4 linked regions of the Oryzias latipes genome follow. The protein of the gene in region 2 purifies or fractionates together with the protein of the main gene of each other region. This does not show direct contact. Links are inferred from orthologs where the notes say so. Each region holds a gene or a part of one and is shown on either strand. Other genes may lie near its edges.

Region 1 (3,834 bases), on a different chromosome or scaffold from region 2:
AATTGCCTTCTATGTTACAAAGCCAACTTTTGAATCTAAAATTAAGCTTTTCTAACCTTGTTTAAAAAATCTGTTGAAAGACCCGCTCTGATGAAAATGGTGATTTTGGTGTTTTTAACATGTTTCTGTAGCATTTTTCTCATGATGGTAAGGCATATTTGAAGAAAATGAAGATCAAAACTCCATTTCTGAGTTTTCTTTATTCAAATCGGGAGCAGATGAAAACATTCAGTTTAAAAAGGTTGTAGCAGTGATGTTGGTGCTTCAGTCAGCTGGCGAAAAGAAAACTCCTTGCTCCGCTTCATTCTGACGCATGAATCTACATCTTTGTTTACCTCGTCTGAGCTGGATTTTGGATCTAAACTGTACGGCTGGATAGGTTTGGTGTTGCACCCATTTTTACTGCACCGCTAATGTTAGCTTTGGTCTGTGAGAGGCTGTAAGCTAATGGGACAGAGTGTAAAAAAAAAAAAAAGCATGATGGGAAATGGGGGTTGGCTTGCTTCCGTTCCAACAGTTTAGTCCAAATCTCAAGGGGGAATTTCTGCTAAACTCCTGCATCTCTGCAGAAACTATGTCATTGAAAGCGACACAGGTTTTTGGATTTTTTTTTTTTTTTTTTTGCAAATATCTTTTTATTGTTTTTAAACACATGAACAAAGTTAGAAGCATTGAAACAGCATATATTTAACAAAAATCCAAAGAAAATGAAAAATTAGTACAAGAAGGTACGTAGAGTTGTCAGGTTGAAATTATCCTCCTATCTAGGATACTGATCACAGAGTTAACAATTTGTCATGACCTTTTCTTGTTTTGTACATAAACCATTTTTCCCAGTCCTTCAGAAATTTGTTTTCCTTCATTCTTAGTTTGTATGCAAGTCTCTCCATTGTTTGTATTTCTTCCACAATATACATCCATTGCTTGTGTGTTGGGGCTTCAGCCTTCTGCCAGTTCTTAGTTATGGCTTTCTTTGCTGCCACAAGAAGAACTTTTACTAGATTTTGGTCCGTTTTATGTACTGTTCCCTCTAAGTAACCCAGATACATCACAAGACAGGTTCGGGGTATCTTATAACTGAGTATTTCACATATAGCAGAGTGAATGGTGTGGTTTTTGGATTTTTACTAAAAACTGCATCATTTTCTTTACCCTTTGAAAATTGATCAGAAGATGATTGGAGTGGGACTTGAATGTTTGTTGCTTATTTTAGGGGTTTTCAATGTGTTATTCTTTGATTGACAGGTGGGTGGACTTATGGGTGAGCTCAACAAAACCCACTTTACATTTCCAGAATGCTGAAGAGTTCAGGCCATTTGCCCTCCCCATGTTTGTTGAAAAGCCTGTGGGTGACGTCAGAGATGATCCGTCTAATGGTCATACAGTATGTTTAAGATTTATTAAGCAGGAATCCCATCTTGCGGTTAAAACAGTCACCAATTAGTAGCATAGTCAAAAACATTTCACTTTGCATAAAGGGAGCACAGATTTAATCAGATAAAAACTGAGATCTCTGAGGCAGAACACAGAATAAAATTTAGTTTTCTCACGTATACAGAGATTTCTTCAAATTCTCTCAAGGAGGATTTGATGTATTCAATCTCTTGATCATTTAACGGAGAATCATTAAATAGATATTTATTATAGAAACGGTTGTCACAGCAGCCGTGTTGCCGACTGTTCTTATTTTGCGACTTTTACATGTTTTTGTTGTAGTTTAATTAAACAAGTTTCTGCTTTAGAAAGTCTTTTTTTATGCTTTTAGATGTTTAATTCTGATTTGAATCTAAATCAAACTGCTGGTGATGTTGTGGTCCGTCTTTCCTGGTAACCAGGAAGTCCACAGATGTTGCTGCTGTCTCGTCTTTGTCTTCTAAAAACGCTGTAACAGGCTGGCGTGTTTTTGTCCAGTTCCCAGTCAGGCCGACTCCACCAGCCTGGAGCAGGAGAAGTACCTGCAGGCCATCATCGGCAGCATGCCGTCCTACAGCGAGAGCAGCGGCAGAAACACGCTGAGCGGCTTCTCTTCCGCTCACATGAGCACCTCAGGTGAGGACGCCCAGTTACGCACTGGAAACACCGCTGCCAGAGAAACCTCTCATCTCTGCGTCTTCTGTTTCCAGACTCTGCAGATAAACTGAGGCAGCCTAAAATCGGGATGCTCATGAAGCAGGTGATGGGCGTGAAGGAGGAGGTTCCCGGGACGTTCAGCAGAGGAGGTGAGGTCCAAACTGGTGTGTTTTGGGCAGTTCTGGCTTCTGTTCATGTGAGTTTTGGAGCTGGCCTGGGACAGAGGAGGAAGCGGATTTGGGAGTCATGTAGGGAGAAGGTCCTCTTTTGTTGGTTAACTGGCATTTCTGTCATTTGACCTCAGCTCAGGGTAAAAGCGTCAAAGTGTCCTCTCAACCCAAGGGGCCTAACAAGGCCAGGAACTCCCCCAGAGGTACAGTAGGCCACGCCCCTCAGCCCTTCCTTCACTCGTCTTTAACCAATCAGGTCTCTAACGGTAGATGGGTCTTTTTGTGTGCTAACACTGCAACGTTGCTGCTTGTGTTGTTGTGTACACGCTGCAGCTCCGGCTGAGCTGCGTGACGTCCTGCTGGTTGTTTCTCCTTCAGAACTTTAGACTGTCAGTGTGGCGTAGCCGTTTCTCTAGGACGACGGGAGGCTGGCAGACTGGATCATTCCAGCTCCAGCACTAGTCGTCCCTGCGTCCTGCAGCCTCAAACCCCTTATGATCCACTTCTGCTACACTCTGCTGTCTGTGTTCACATGATTTTACAGGAAAGGCTCCATCTGATCTCACTATGAAGGCATGATTCCACCCAAATAAACAAATAAAGAATCAAACCACAGCATAACGAATCTAAATATTTGTTGCTTTTGTTTGATGTTTCCTTTCAGTTTGTGCCAGTACAAATGAACAAATACTGAAACACAACAGCAAATCACAGAACAAATCAAATTTCCATTAAGCAGCCGGCCGGCAAGTGCAAAACGCGACAGTAGAAAGTGGAGAAAAAATGAACGCTATCGAACGAAAGCTGCTAACGGAATGGGGATTCCCTTTAACACCGAAGGTGTTGTACATTTTCATTGCATTAATACAATTTTAAAAAATTATTTTGGACTGTTTCATGTATTTATAACATAAAGAAAACAGTAATAAATCACTTTAAAAAATCGTATATGATTGGTTTAATATGACGTCCCTTTCTAGCTGTGTCTATATGACCGTGTTTCTGGATTTGGTCATTTGTAATGTGATTTGCTTTTGTGTTTCAGGACTCTGTAATTTGTTCTGTGATTTGCTGTTGTGTTTCAGTATTTGTTCATTTGTACTGGGATTTGTTGTTGTATCTTAAATGTGCGCATGTCTTGCACCCTCGCCCACCGTAATCAGGACAAGAAAAACTGCTTCGTACATCAACTTCAGATTTTAGTAACAAACTTAAAACAAAATATTGTTTTAACCAAAAAGGTCACCCAAACCACACACCCCAAAAGAAAATCAAGTTCAAATTTTAAAATAAACCAAAAAAATGTTTGTAAAAGAACAAATGTGCAAAGAAAATCTGTCTTTATTAAATGTTATATACGGTTATATGTTGTATGAGTACAGCAACATGTAAATGAAAAATATCCATCCACCTTTAGGGTCCTGGGGCTGCTGGAGCCTATCACAGCTGCTGTTGGGTGAGGGCGGGGTTCAGCCTAAACAGGTCACCAGTATGTAGCAGTGATACACAACCACGCACACAGTCCACCTATGCAGCATGTTTCTGGACTGTGGGAGGAGGCCAGAGAAAATGCACAGTTGCATGAGGAGAACAT
Region 2 (2,965 bases):
GGGGCTTTGAAATTCTGATTGAGAAAGAGTGGCTGAGTTTCGGTCATCGCTTCCAGCAAGTAAATGGTCTTTTTGTTTTGTGAAGGCCTGTCTAGCATGAAGTGAACATTTAGATGTACTGATTGTCCTCCTGACTCCTCCAGCGTATCGGTCATGGAGATAAAAACTACACAGATGCAGAACGGTCTCCTGTTTTTGTTCAGTTCGTTGACTGTGTCTGGCAATTGACTCGCCAGGTAAGTCACAATTAGTTCATATTTAGAACAAGAAAAAGACTAATATTGTATAGTCATTTAACAGTTTGTTTGTTTTTTGGTTTGTTTTGTTGAAGTTTCCTTCAGCTTTTGAGTTTAACGAATACTTCCTGATAACCATCCTGGAACACTTGTTCTCCTGCCTTTTTGGGACATTCCTGTGCAACTGTGAGCAGCAAAGGTTGAAGGAAGTAAGGCTTTTTTGCATCTTTCAGCTTTTTATGGTTTTTAGAATTAGTATTCTGAGATTTTGGTTGGTCAGGTCTTAAAAGAATTAACCATAAATGTTGCATAAAATTGTTTAAAAACACATCTTCCCCTCTACTCTGCAGGAAGTTCCCAAAAAAACAGTCTCACTGTGGTCCTACATCAACAGCCAACTGGAGGAATTTACCAATCCTTTTTATGTGAACTACTCCAACCATGTACTGTTTCCTGTTGTCAGCTTACACCATCTGGAGCTTTGGGTCAGTTATTACATCCGCTGGAACCCCCGCATGAGACCCCAGGTATGTAGTCAAATTTAACCTGACTTTTTATTTATTAAGAATCCATCTGTGGCGCAGAGCACTTCCATGTTTCCCTTCTCTTTAAGGAACCGCTTCACCAGCGTTACAAGGAGCTGCTGGCGAAGCGTGCCGAACTCCAGAAAAGAGTCGACGAGTTGAAACGCGAGGCAGCAAACCGCTCCGCTTCTTCCTCCTCCGAGCGCCCGAGCTCTCCAACACGCTCTGTCACTCCAGTGCAAACCTTTGTTTGATGCACCTTGATCACGTGATCGTCACAGAGTCTGAGTTTACTCCGTGTTGGAAGGGCCAAACAAGAGTAATCATCAAGGCTACACTGGGAGCCATTAAAGGCCTGTGAGCCAAACTGCCTCTTTAAGTGACAACCAGAACTGAAACATGACACAAAAAGTCCAAATGAGCAGAGATTTATGTTGGCATTTCCAATGTGTGTCAGAGCACACTGGACAAAGGCCACACTACACTACATCCAAAGCAAAAGGATATTTAACCAGAATATATAAGGGCTGTGTAGCATAAAAGAGCTAATTCACTATCAGTGGTTTTTAAATATATATAATCCAGATTTAATGCGACATAGAATCACTCATTCCACTCTCTTATTTGTCTGAAAAACATCAGCTAAAATACTACTAGTAAACATAATTATGCAAATCTGAGAAACACTTGTGCTTTTTCCAAGCAAATTATTCTTTTTGTCATATATTAATGTTTACCATAAATGTCTCTGTCTTTTTTCCTCTATTAAAAATAGCAATAGATGAGGCCATGTCTTCACAACTTTATCCTATATTGTGACCTGCCTCTACATAATGGGTTCTGTGTGACATTCCTTTCATTTTAAATGATTTCCCTTTTCTAACTTTTTTTTTTTAAATAGCTAACCTTATTTATTACTGTTTTCTGTGTTTCTATCTCTAAACCATTCTGATTTTCATCTCATCAGAATTGTAGAAGTCTTCATGCAAGCCTAAAAAGCTATTAGGAATATGCAATGTGCGCCAAGTTATTCACTTGACATGTTTATATGCAGAACAGCTACTATTGCAATGTTTATCAATTCCAATAATTGTGTGCCTTTGCTGAATGACTGGAGGCAACAGAAACGTCAAGTTTGGTTGACTCTTAAATAAGAGCACTGTTAGCCTTTAGCTTCTCCACTTTATTAAAATGTTGTTTAATATTTAAGCCAATAGAAGTGATTGTTTGGTTTGTTTATGATTGAACACTATTCCTTCCTTCTGGGATTGAACTGTTACTGTTTTTATGTTGTTGTTTTTTGTTGTTTTGTTTTTTTTCAAACCAACCCAGATCACTGATTGTCTAAGTATGTTAATAATTTTGCTGTAATAGAGTGCCTTTTCGGAAAAACAATAACAAAGATGAAGTTTAAAATATGCTGTTTGTAGCACTGCCTCAATACACTACTAATTTTCTCAATAAAGCTGGTCATATTTATACACTTTGACTTTTAATTGGTATGTGGCCAGTAATGGTCTGTTTCTTCCTCTGCTTTTGTAATAAATGTATACTTTGCAAATGGGTGTCATTGAATCTCCCTTTAAGCTGTTTGGTATTGTAATCACCAATTGCCACATCTGGGGGGTATTCCAGGAAGCACGATTAAACTACCCTGACTTTAACCCTGAACTCTTGCTAATATCCGCCTGAACTTGCTTACTCTGGGTATGTCGTTTCCAAAAGACCGGATATGAGTTGGCGTAATTACGCTCGACTTGGTAACCCTGGGTTAATGCACGTGCACGGCAAGCACATAAAGGCATTATCAATGGATCACCGACATGTCGAGTCACCATGGAAACGCGTGAAGAAAAAAAATAGAGCGCTATACTTCAGTGAGACGGAGTCTGAGATTTTAATGATGGCGTATGAAGATTATACGCCCATCAAAAAGTAACACTGCTGCATCAGCAAAGGAAAGAGTTTCTGCTTGGAGAAAAATAACGAACAGAGTAAACGCACAAGTTTCTGATCTTATTTCCAATTACATTGTGATGTATTTACAACTTATAAAACTTAAATGAATTGATTCAGTTGGTAACAAGTAATTGAGTTAAATTTATTCAACCTAATTTCTTATGTCTATCCAACTCGATAATTGTTTATACAACTCAAATTTACATATTTAACTAAATGTCATATTAGTCCAATTAAATTAAATGT
Region 3 (3,834 bases), on a different chromosome or scaffold from region 2:
TAACTTACAAAAACATTGATGTTACAACCTTATCTCGTTATCACCATACAGAGAAGTGATTATGTCAAAATGAAGCATTGCAGCTTTAGTGCATGGCTTATATTTTGTATCATCAAACACGCACAGAACTTTGATTTTGCACAAAATGCACCTAGCGAAGAGGAAGGAATGCTTTTTGATCATCGATGTTGCACAAGAAATGAGAAAACAGAAACCATTTTCACCGCTGCAGCAGATGGTTGGCTTGATAACAAACTGGAAGTAGATCATTGCTCAGTCTGAGGAACTTGGCATACTATATAGCCAACAGCATGACATATTATAGGAACAACACAGTTGATTAGATGTCAACCTCTTTTGATTGCCTCCTTTACAGAGAACCCAGCTTTTCCACCTCCTCCTTGGAGAACATGATATCCCTCTGACATGTCTGGACCAAGTAGTGACGGGTAAACTTAATTCGCTCATACTCTATGATTATACACAGTTTCTTTATAAGGAATTGCATTCCTTGTCATGTCTATGATACTTTAACAGAACAGCAGATGCAGCACAAAGCAGTCATTTTTCACGAGTGAGCTTGATAACATGTATGTTAAGTTATCTAAGGAAATGGTCTGTTGTCATGACGCCTGGTAATGTTTTTGCACATCATTGGCGACAGTTGTTTTCAGAAGCATTCAAGTTGTGTGTTTTGTGGTGGGGAAGCATAAGAGTTTGGTTTACTCAGTATTAGTCATGAATATTCATTAATATCAGTATAGTTTATGTTTCTTTGCACTCTTTTTTTAATGTAGATAAATGATGGTATAATTTTAGTGATGTTTTCTTAACTACATCATTGTGATCGAATGTGTAGCACTTACTCAGTTCATATTTGTTTTCATTTACTGGTATTTAGGTGGCACTTGTTCTTGCATTGCTCAGTAAGAGGATTTGTAAATATTTTAGTGGATTCAAGACATTTGATATCAAATTGTATTTTTGCAGCGGAAAATAGTAGTTGCTGATGCTCTCTTGACTCTTGTTTGGTTTGGCGACCCAATGTTAGGTTAGTCTTGAGCTGATGGACACATGGCTTTACATTGGAGTCAAATACCTTAGTTTACAGAAGAGTTTATGGGTTATTCAATAACTTCACGATTCCCAGGTGTTAATGCTGAAAAAGAGAAAACGAGTCCAAAGTATCGCTTTATCTACCTTGATGCTTTACAAATAAGAGTCTTGATGCACCTTTGCTAATCTAAAAAACAGGTAATCTCACATATTTAGCTAATGTCGTTCTTTTTTTGTCTCTTGTCTTTTCAGTTAATGATTTAAAGGGAAAAAAGAAGATATTGAGTTCTAACCAGAAACTAAAGTTCAATCCCACTGAGCTCATTCTGTACTGCAAAGACCTGCGCATTATACGGTTCTGCTTTGATGAAGCGGGACCAGAAAGTGCAAGAAAGGTAAATTAATAAGTATTTTAATGTAAAATTTCTCTACTGTTCAATCATTAGATATAGGTTTAGAAGAGGCTTTTTCTAGACTTTCTTATATTGAGAATATTGGAAAGGTTATCAGTTAACTCTCAGATTTATCGGTTGAGAAAGTTGATTTATGGATTAACAAATTATTGAATAAAATGTGATAATATTCCTTACTGTTAAAGAACATCAAGGCAGAAATAATTAAGGTTTCAAAATTTTCAAAAGACTGAAATCCCCCAAAAATATTTACCAAAACTACTTCCATATTATTCAGCATTTGACTAAGACTGGCTTAAGATGTGTTTACATAAATTTAGTTGTACATTTTAAATTTCAAATGCAATCTAAAGCTTAAAGTGTTTAAATGTGTATTGTTTTTATTTTGGGAATTTACAAGCTGCTTTTTAAAAATACTTCATTAATGGAGATGTGAAGTCATGCTGTACCTGTTGTATGTGTTAACACACAGTGGAAAATGTTCAAACTCCATAGGATCTCAGAACAAATCTGCCCTTCTTGTTCTATGACTTTATTTTGGAAATGTTGAGAACCTGACACTGAGCGCACTTGTTTTTTTTTTTTTTTTTGTTTGTTCTCTTGCTCAACATGTGAAATTCTCCTACCTGTGAGAGCATCATGTTGTGTAGGAAATTCCAGGGTCAGAGCCTCACCCCTCTCACACACAGTGTCCTCTGGTGGTGTTCAGTGTTTCTCCTGAATAGGCAGCTTTGTTAGGCTCCAGTGATGATCCTATTGGATCATAAGGAAAGGGAACATTCACGCATCGCTGTTACTGTGACCCCGCCCACTTTTTCATGTCAGTCCTCATGAACAGGCGATTTAAAATCCACACCGTAGGAAAAAAATAACTACGTTTATCACAATGAAATGAAAACCTAATAAGTGCTGTTTGCAAACTGTTGCTGGTGAGATGACAGGTGGGGCAAAATGAGCGTGTCTGTGGATGGACTGTGAGCGTCTGCGTTAGTGGGAAATGCAAGAAGCTGTAGTACATGTTTATGACTGCACAGCTGGTTATTTTGGTCATGTTTACGGCGTCACAGCGGCTGACATTTCTAAAGTTAGAAGTTCAGTTTGTTGAATAAAAAACCAAGCAAGGCCAGATTAAACCCAGACTTCTCTTCTGTTCTGCCAAATGTTAAAATGAAATTTGGGCAAGTTTAAAAGGAATACTACAGCTGATCATCATTCCATTTATTGGGGTAGAAAAAAATTAATAATGACACTGTCCAATTGCAGAACATTTATATTACTATAATTAGCAAACTAATGAAAAAGTAAAAATAATTAATTTTACATGCAATAAAAGCACCACCACAGAATTAACCTATATTAAGGAACTCGGGGACTGTCTCACAATGTAACAAAAGATGAATAAATCAAAATAGGCTTATTTATTTTCATGTTAATGAAAGTGAAGTTCTTAGAAATATTGATGGCAATTTGTTCTGGTGTATCCAATCCAATTGCTGTAGGTATTACATACAACAAATGCACAGTATTTACAGTTTCAAACATAGTTGCAACTTTGGCCAATTTTCCTTGTGCAATATTGTTATGAAGGCACTTTTTTGAGTTATGCCAAAATAGGTTTAAAAAGCTATTGGACCTGCTGTTTGTGGATTCAATAACATTTCAGATATATTTGGAAGTGTTTTTGTATTTCTTTGTATTAGATTTCACATTATAGTGGATGATGACGCAGTTGTTAAGGAGAGAATTTAAGATAGGCATTTGATGTCATAAACATTGCTGACCCCCTGCTATAGATGGTCAATTACTATTGTGAAAGGAGAAACTCAACATAAGATTTTGGCAAATGCTGGGCAACAATATTAAAGCTATGTAGATCTAGATGCTATAAGTCAATGAAATGGCTATTAGGACTGTAATAATTGTCAACATGGCAACATGGAGATTAAAAACTACAAAATTAACTGTACACCATAAAACATGTCTAATTAAATGTGAAATATTCTATCGTTATTTGTCAAAGTCTTGCTGCCTTTCTTTTCTGTAGGTTTGCCTTGCTATCGCCCACTATTCTCATCCAGCTGATATTCAACTATTGTTTGGTTTTGAGTATCAGGGACGGCGATACCATGAATCTAAAGGTAGTGTAAGTTGATCCTCGTGCTTTTTTAAAAATTTTAGTTCTTTGACTTCCTCTACAAATGTTTTTAACTTGAACCATTGTATCTTTGTTTCCAGAGGAGCGACTCAGAAGTTCCACCCAAAGGGGAGGAGCATTGCAGGTTCCTATTTTTGATCGTTCATCGGATTGGGATCGGGAGATCAAGAGGACAAGTGCTTCAGAGTGGAGGGTTTGCTCAGTCAACCA
Region 4 (3,834 bases), on a different chromosome or scaffold from region 2:
AACATTACCGATGCAACAAAAATGGCGAGCAAAATTAGAGCTATCCAGCTGTACGGCTTTGAGCCAGATGCCAGCTCAGACGAGGAAAACCAAAACGTACATGGATCCATTTGTCTGCCAGTGGATGCATCAGAATGGAGCGGAGCAGGGAGCTTGTGGCCCGGCAGCACGAGTTCCTACGAAGCAAATACCACCTTTTTTTATACAGCATTGTTGTGTCTGCTACTGATTCACAACGATTTGAATAAAGAAATACTCAGAAATGCAGTTTTGAGGTGAATTTTGTTTCTGTATGTCCTCCATCATCAGAAAAATATACCAAGAAAACAACCAAAACACAGTTGTGATCAGACTGGGTCTCTAAAGCCATTTCTTTTTTCCTGTTACTTCAGTCCTTTTAGTTTGATGCATCTACATGTAATATTGGGAATATTTGAAAGAATCTTGTGCACCCATTGAAGTATTTACTTTCTGAAAGATTAGAGTGTGATTTCTGGAAAATGTGAAGCCATTGGCTGCTGGTTTGGCACAGTTTTCACTTTTAGATGATAGAAAAGAAAATAGGAAACACAAAAAGGTTTTTTGTTTAAAAATTAAGTGTTTGTCTGTCAGTATCCAAAAGTTCTAAACATAAGGTGAACAGCAGCCTTCAGTTCAATAAATCTCAACCACTTCTGCAAAAAAAAAACAGATTATAAGTTATGCATGAGCGCCAAAATGTAAAAATGATCTCTTCAGAGAGTTGGAAATTATATTTCTTGGATGATTTTAGTTTAAAAAGGTTATATGATTGCTGTCCGGTTAGGGTACTTTTAAAGATCCATGTTTCTGATGATGTTCACATGAGTTTTTTTTTTTTCCAACAAGGCCATGGTGCGCACTGAATTGACAGTGGGATGATGAATTTATTTCCTTAATCGGATTCTCTGACGCAAATGTTTCCACTCACCCCTGAGCTTTCTGTGCCTTGTTGTCAATCAAGAAAGCCTGGCTTTGAGCGCGTACGTGCTTGCAGTCAGGTACACTGCTGCTTGTGTGTTCTGTGCTGAGGTGCTCTTTCCTTTCAGCCCAAGATTTTGCGTCCAGCTCTGCTGCCTGGTGAGGAATTTGTGTCGGAGGCGCTGCGGGTGATGCTGGACCCAGACGGCAGGGAGGAAGCCACTGGGGGCCTCCTCGGGGGCCCCCATATTCTACCAGCAGAGGGGGCCCTTTTTCTTACCACATATCGCATAATCTTCAAAGGCATTCCTCACGACCCACTAGGTATTTATTGATCATGAAGTAAATTTGTCTCAGTGACCTTGTCGTAGAGTGTCCACCCTGAGTGGGGATGATCGTGGTTCGAGTCTACAGTCGAGTCATGCCAAATTTATTCAAAAATGGGGCCCAGTGCCTCTCTGCTTGACATGGAGCATTCAGTGATTGGATGGAGGAGTTAAAGCACAGTATTGTTCACAAGTGCAGCTTTGATTGCAGCTCACTGCTCCCCCAAGGAATGGGTCAAACCCAAAGAACACATTTTCCTACGCTCTGATGTGTGACAATAGTTGGACTTTACCTTTTAAATTAGTCAATTTTTTATTTTTAAATTATTAAATGCTCTAACATTGTGCCTCTTTTGTTCAATTTAGCCTACCGTCAAATTGTAACCCTTGTGCTATCCTAGGCACTTTAACATTGGGAGTTGGGTCATCTAGACCCACTAGACAGTGCTCTGAACCTTTTTTCTTCAATGATTTGTGAACCTCACTGGTGTCCATGGATTACATGAAATCTTTCCACCTTTATCCACCTTTGTCATGGTAGGGAGAACATGTCAATGGTCATCTTGACCTCATAGGATGGCACAAGGGTTAAAAATGTAATTCAGATTAAACTGATTAACGGTTTTGTTTGCTCAGACATGTTGATCTTTGTCCTTGTACATCTGCAGTGGGAGAGCAGACGGTTATCAGGGCCTTTCCTGTGTCCACTCTGACCAAAGAGAAGAAGATCAGCATTCAGAACCAGCTGCAGCAGCACATGCAGGAAGGCCTGCAGCTCCGGTCTGCATCTTTCCAGGTTCACATTCTTTCAATTTAATCTAAGGGATTCTATCAATTAATTTTCTTAATTGTATTTACTTGATTTCCTTTAGTTGAAAATGCACAAAATAATCTTTTAGGTCATTTGATGGCTCTATTTGGTCAAAGTGTGCTATTCAAGCAACACTAACCCTGAAAGCTCTTGTGGCTAAACCCCATTTCTTTAACTCACCTGTTGGGCTGTTGTTTTTTTTTTGATGTTACAAGAAGTCTATGTTACACGGACACAGAGAACAGCACAGCTCTTTGCTACTGCTAGAACAGACTCACTGTTGTAAGTTAGCAACAAACTACGTCTCCCTGTATCAGTTCTATGCAGTTTTAGAGTCTCAAATAACAAACAATCAAGCAAAGTTGAACACAAAAAGTCGTACGACGATCGCACACACAAGGTGCCCTGTCCCTATGCTGTTTGTCATACAACTGTTACAACCAGCGCCATAAAATACAGTCGAAGGCAACGGAAAACGCAGTTGGTAACTGACACTCAGGCAGGCTGCTCACATTAAATCCCAGCTGCGACAAATGAGCAAGGTTTATATAACAGACCCACTTTCAAGGTTGATGAGGCAGAGTTGAAGGCCAGTGAAACCAGGCTGCAACAGCACGCCAATGGGAGGTGGAAGAGTGCATATAACACCAGATGTGGAACTGTGCAGTGGACTCTGCATTCTTTAAAGAAGGCATTTAATACACAGAAGAGAGTCAATCTATGTAGTAAAGCATGCATGTACAGCTCTAAGAGTTTTTACTGTAAATTCCTGGATTTTACCCCCCATGTTTGGGGGTTCTTTAGTCCATCCCATGTCTTCCTTAGGCAAACATATTGTTGAGTTGCAATACCTGACCTGGGTTTTACAATTATTGTTATGATGGCTTTCTTGCAGCTAATAAAGGTAGCTTTTGATGAGGAAGTTAGCTCAGAGATGGTGGAGATCTTCAGGAAACACCTCCAAAGAATCCGCTATCCTCAGTCCATCTTCAGCTCCTTTGCCTTTGCAGCAGGACAAACAACCCCTCAACTGATCCTTCCAAAGCAGAAGGAGCGTAACACTGGCCTCAAGTAAGCCCAACCCCTTTTTGGAAATTGCATCAGAGCTTCCTGTTTACTGTAAATGAACCAGAAGTTTTATTTTGAAACCACTCTGACTCCTTTTTGCATGTCACCTCTGCTTTGTGTTTATCACAGAACACTGTCTAAGAGCATAGTCAAAGGAGCCAAACGGGCTGGAAAGATCACCATGGGCCTTGGTAGTCAGAATTCACTGAAAAAGGCTGACCGAAGCAGCCGGATGATCTATCATGAAGACGATGACATTTCAAGTGAGAGAAATGAACGAGCAGCGAAAGAGTCAATGTGGAGACACAAAAACAGTGGATTTTTGTCTGTTGCAGTATCGGACGAAGAGCCTCCACCCAGCAGCACCTTACGGGCGTCAGAGAAGTCCACTATGGAGCAGCTGGTGGAACAGTCTTGTTTCCGTGACTACCAGCGTCTGGGCCTGGGCACCATCACTGCCAGCTCATCTCGCTCCAAGTCAGGCGAGCAGTTCAGGATCACAGCTGTAAACAGGCTGTACTCCCTCTGCCGCAGGTGAACCGACTTTCACAGAAAGCCTTTGTGATTCGCACGTGTTTTCATTCGCAGCAGAAGGTCTTTATTTCCCAGTGCATCTGTCCAGACACCCGCTGATGCCACTAGTCACAGCTTGGTCCAAAAATAAGTCAAAACCTTCATTTAATTAAACAA

Evidence for each region.
Region 1: the proteins of mtmr2 (region 2) and sbf1 purify together in Homo sapiens (affinity purification with mass spectrometry; 6 studies listed by BioGRID and IntAct, with this or other methods). This does not show direct contact. The link is inferred for Oryzias latipes from reciprocal best matches to the Homo sapiens genes MTMR2 and SBF1.
Region 3: the proteins of mtmr2 (region 2) and mtmr10 purify together in Homo sapiens (affinity purification with mass spectrometry; 5 studies listed by BioGRID and IntAct, with this or other methods). This does not show direct contact. The link is inferred for Oryzias latipes from reciprocal best matches to the Homo sapiens genes MTMR2 and MTMR10.
Region 4: the proteins of mtmr2 (region 2) and sbf2 purify together in Homo sapiens (affinity purification with mass spectrometry; 3 studies listed by BioGRID and IntAct, with this or other methods). This does not show direct contact. The link is inferred for Oryzias latipes from reciprocal best matches to the Homo sapiens genes MTMR2 and SBF2.

Annotation. Positions count from the first base shown.
Region 1 is NC_019881.2:9,364,617-9,368,450, forward strand, and holds part of sbf1 (myotubularin-related protein 5), read left to right. Parts: intron 1-1,911; coding exon 1,912-2,049; intron 2,050-2,123; coding exon 2,124-2,219; intron 2,220-2,374; coding exon 2,375-2,443; intron 2,444-3,834. UniProt on the Homo sapiens protein: Acts as an adapter for the phosphatase MTMR2 to regulate MTMR2 catalytic activity and subcellular location. Promotes the exchange of GDP to GTP, converting inactive GDP-bound Rab proteins into their active GTP-bound form.
Region 2 is NC_019872.2:15,990,868-15,993,832, reverse strand, and holds the end of mtmr2 (myotubularin-related protein 2), read left to right. Parts: coding exon 1-59; intron 60-143; coding exon 144-236; intron 237-331; coding exon 332-445; intron 446-586; coding exon 587-763; intron 764-849; coding exon 850-1,014; 3' UTR 1,015-2,321; downstream 2,322-2,965. UniProt on the Homo sapiens protein: Lipid phosphatase that specifically dephosphorylates the D-3 position of phosphatidylinositol 3-phosphate and phosphatidylinositol 3,5-bisphosphate, generating phosphatidylinositol and phosphatidylinositol 5-phosphate.
Region 3 is NC_019861.2:21,153,449-21,157,282, reverse strand, and holds part of mtmr10 (myotubularin-related protein 10), read left to right. Parts: intron 1-376; coding exon 377-449; intron 450-1,308; coding exon 1,309-1,451; intron 1,452-3,513; coding exon 3,514-3,607; intron 3,608-3,704; coding exon 3,705-3,834.
Region 4 is NC_019861.2:19,894,748-19,898,581, reverse strand, and holds part of sbf2 (myotubularin-related protein 13), read left to right. Parts: intron 1-1,067; coding exon 1,068-1,263; intron 1,264-1,933; coding exon 1,934-2,061; intron 2,062-2,971; coding exon 2,972-3,147; intron 3,148-3,273; coding exon 3,274-3,407; intron 3,408-3,479; coding exon 3,480-3,678; intron 3,679-3,834. UniProt on the Homo sapiens protein: Guanine nucleotide exchange factor (GEF) which activates RAB21 and possibly RAB28. Promotes the exchange of GDP to GTP, converting inactive GDP-bound Rab proteins into their active GTP-bound form.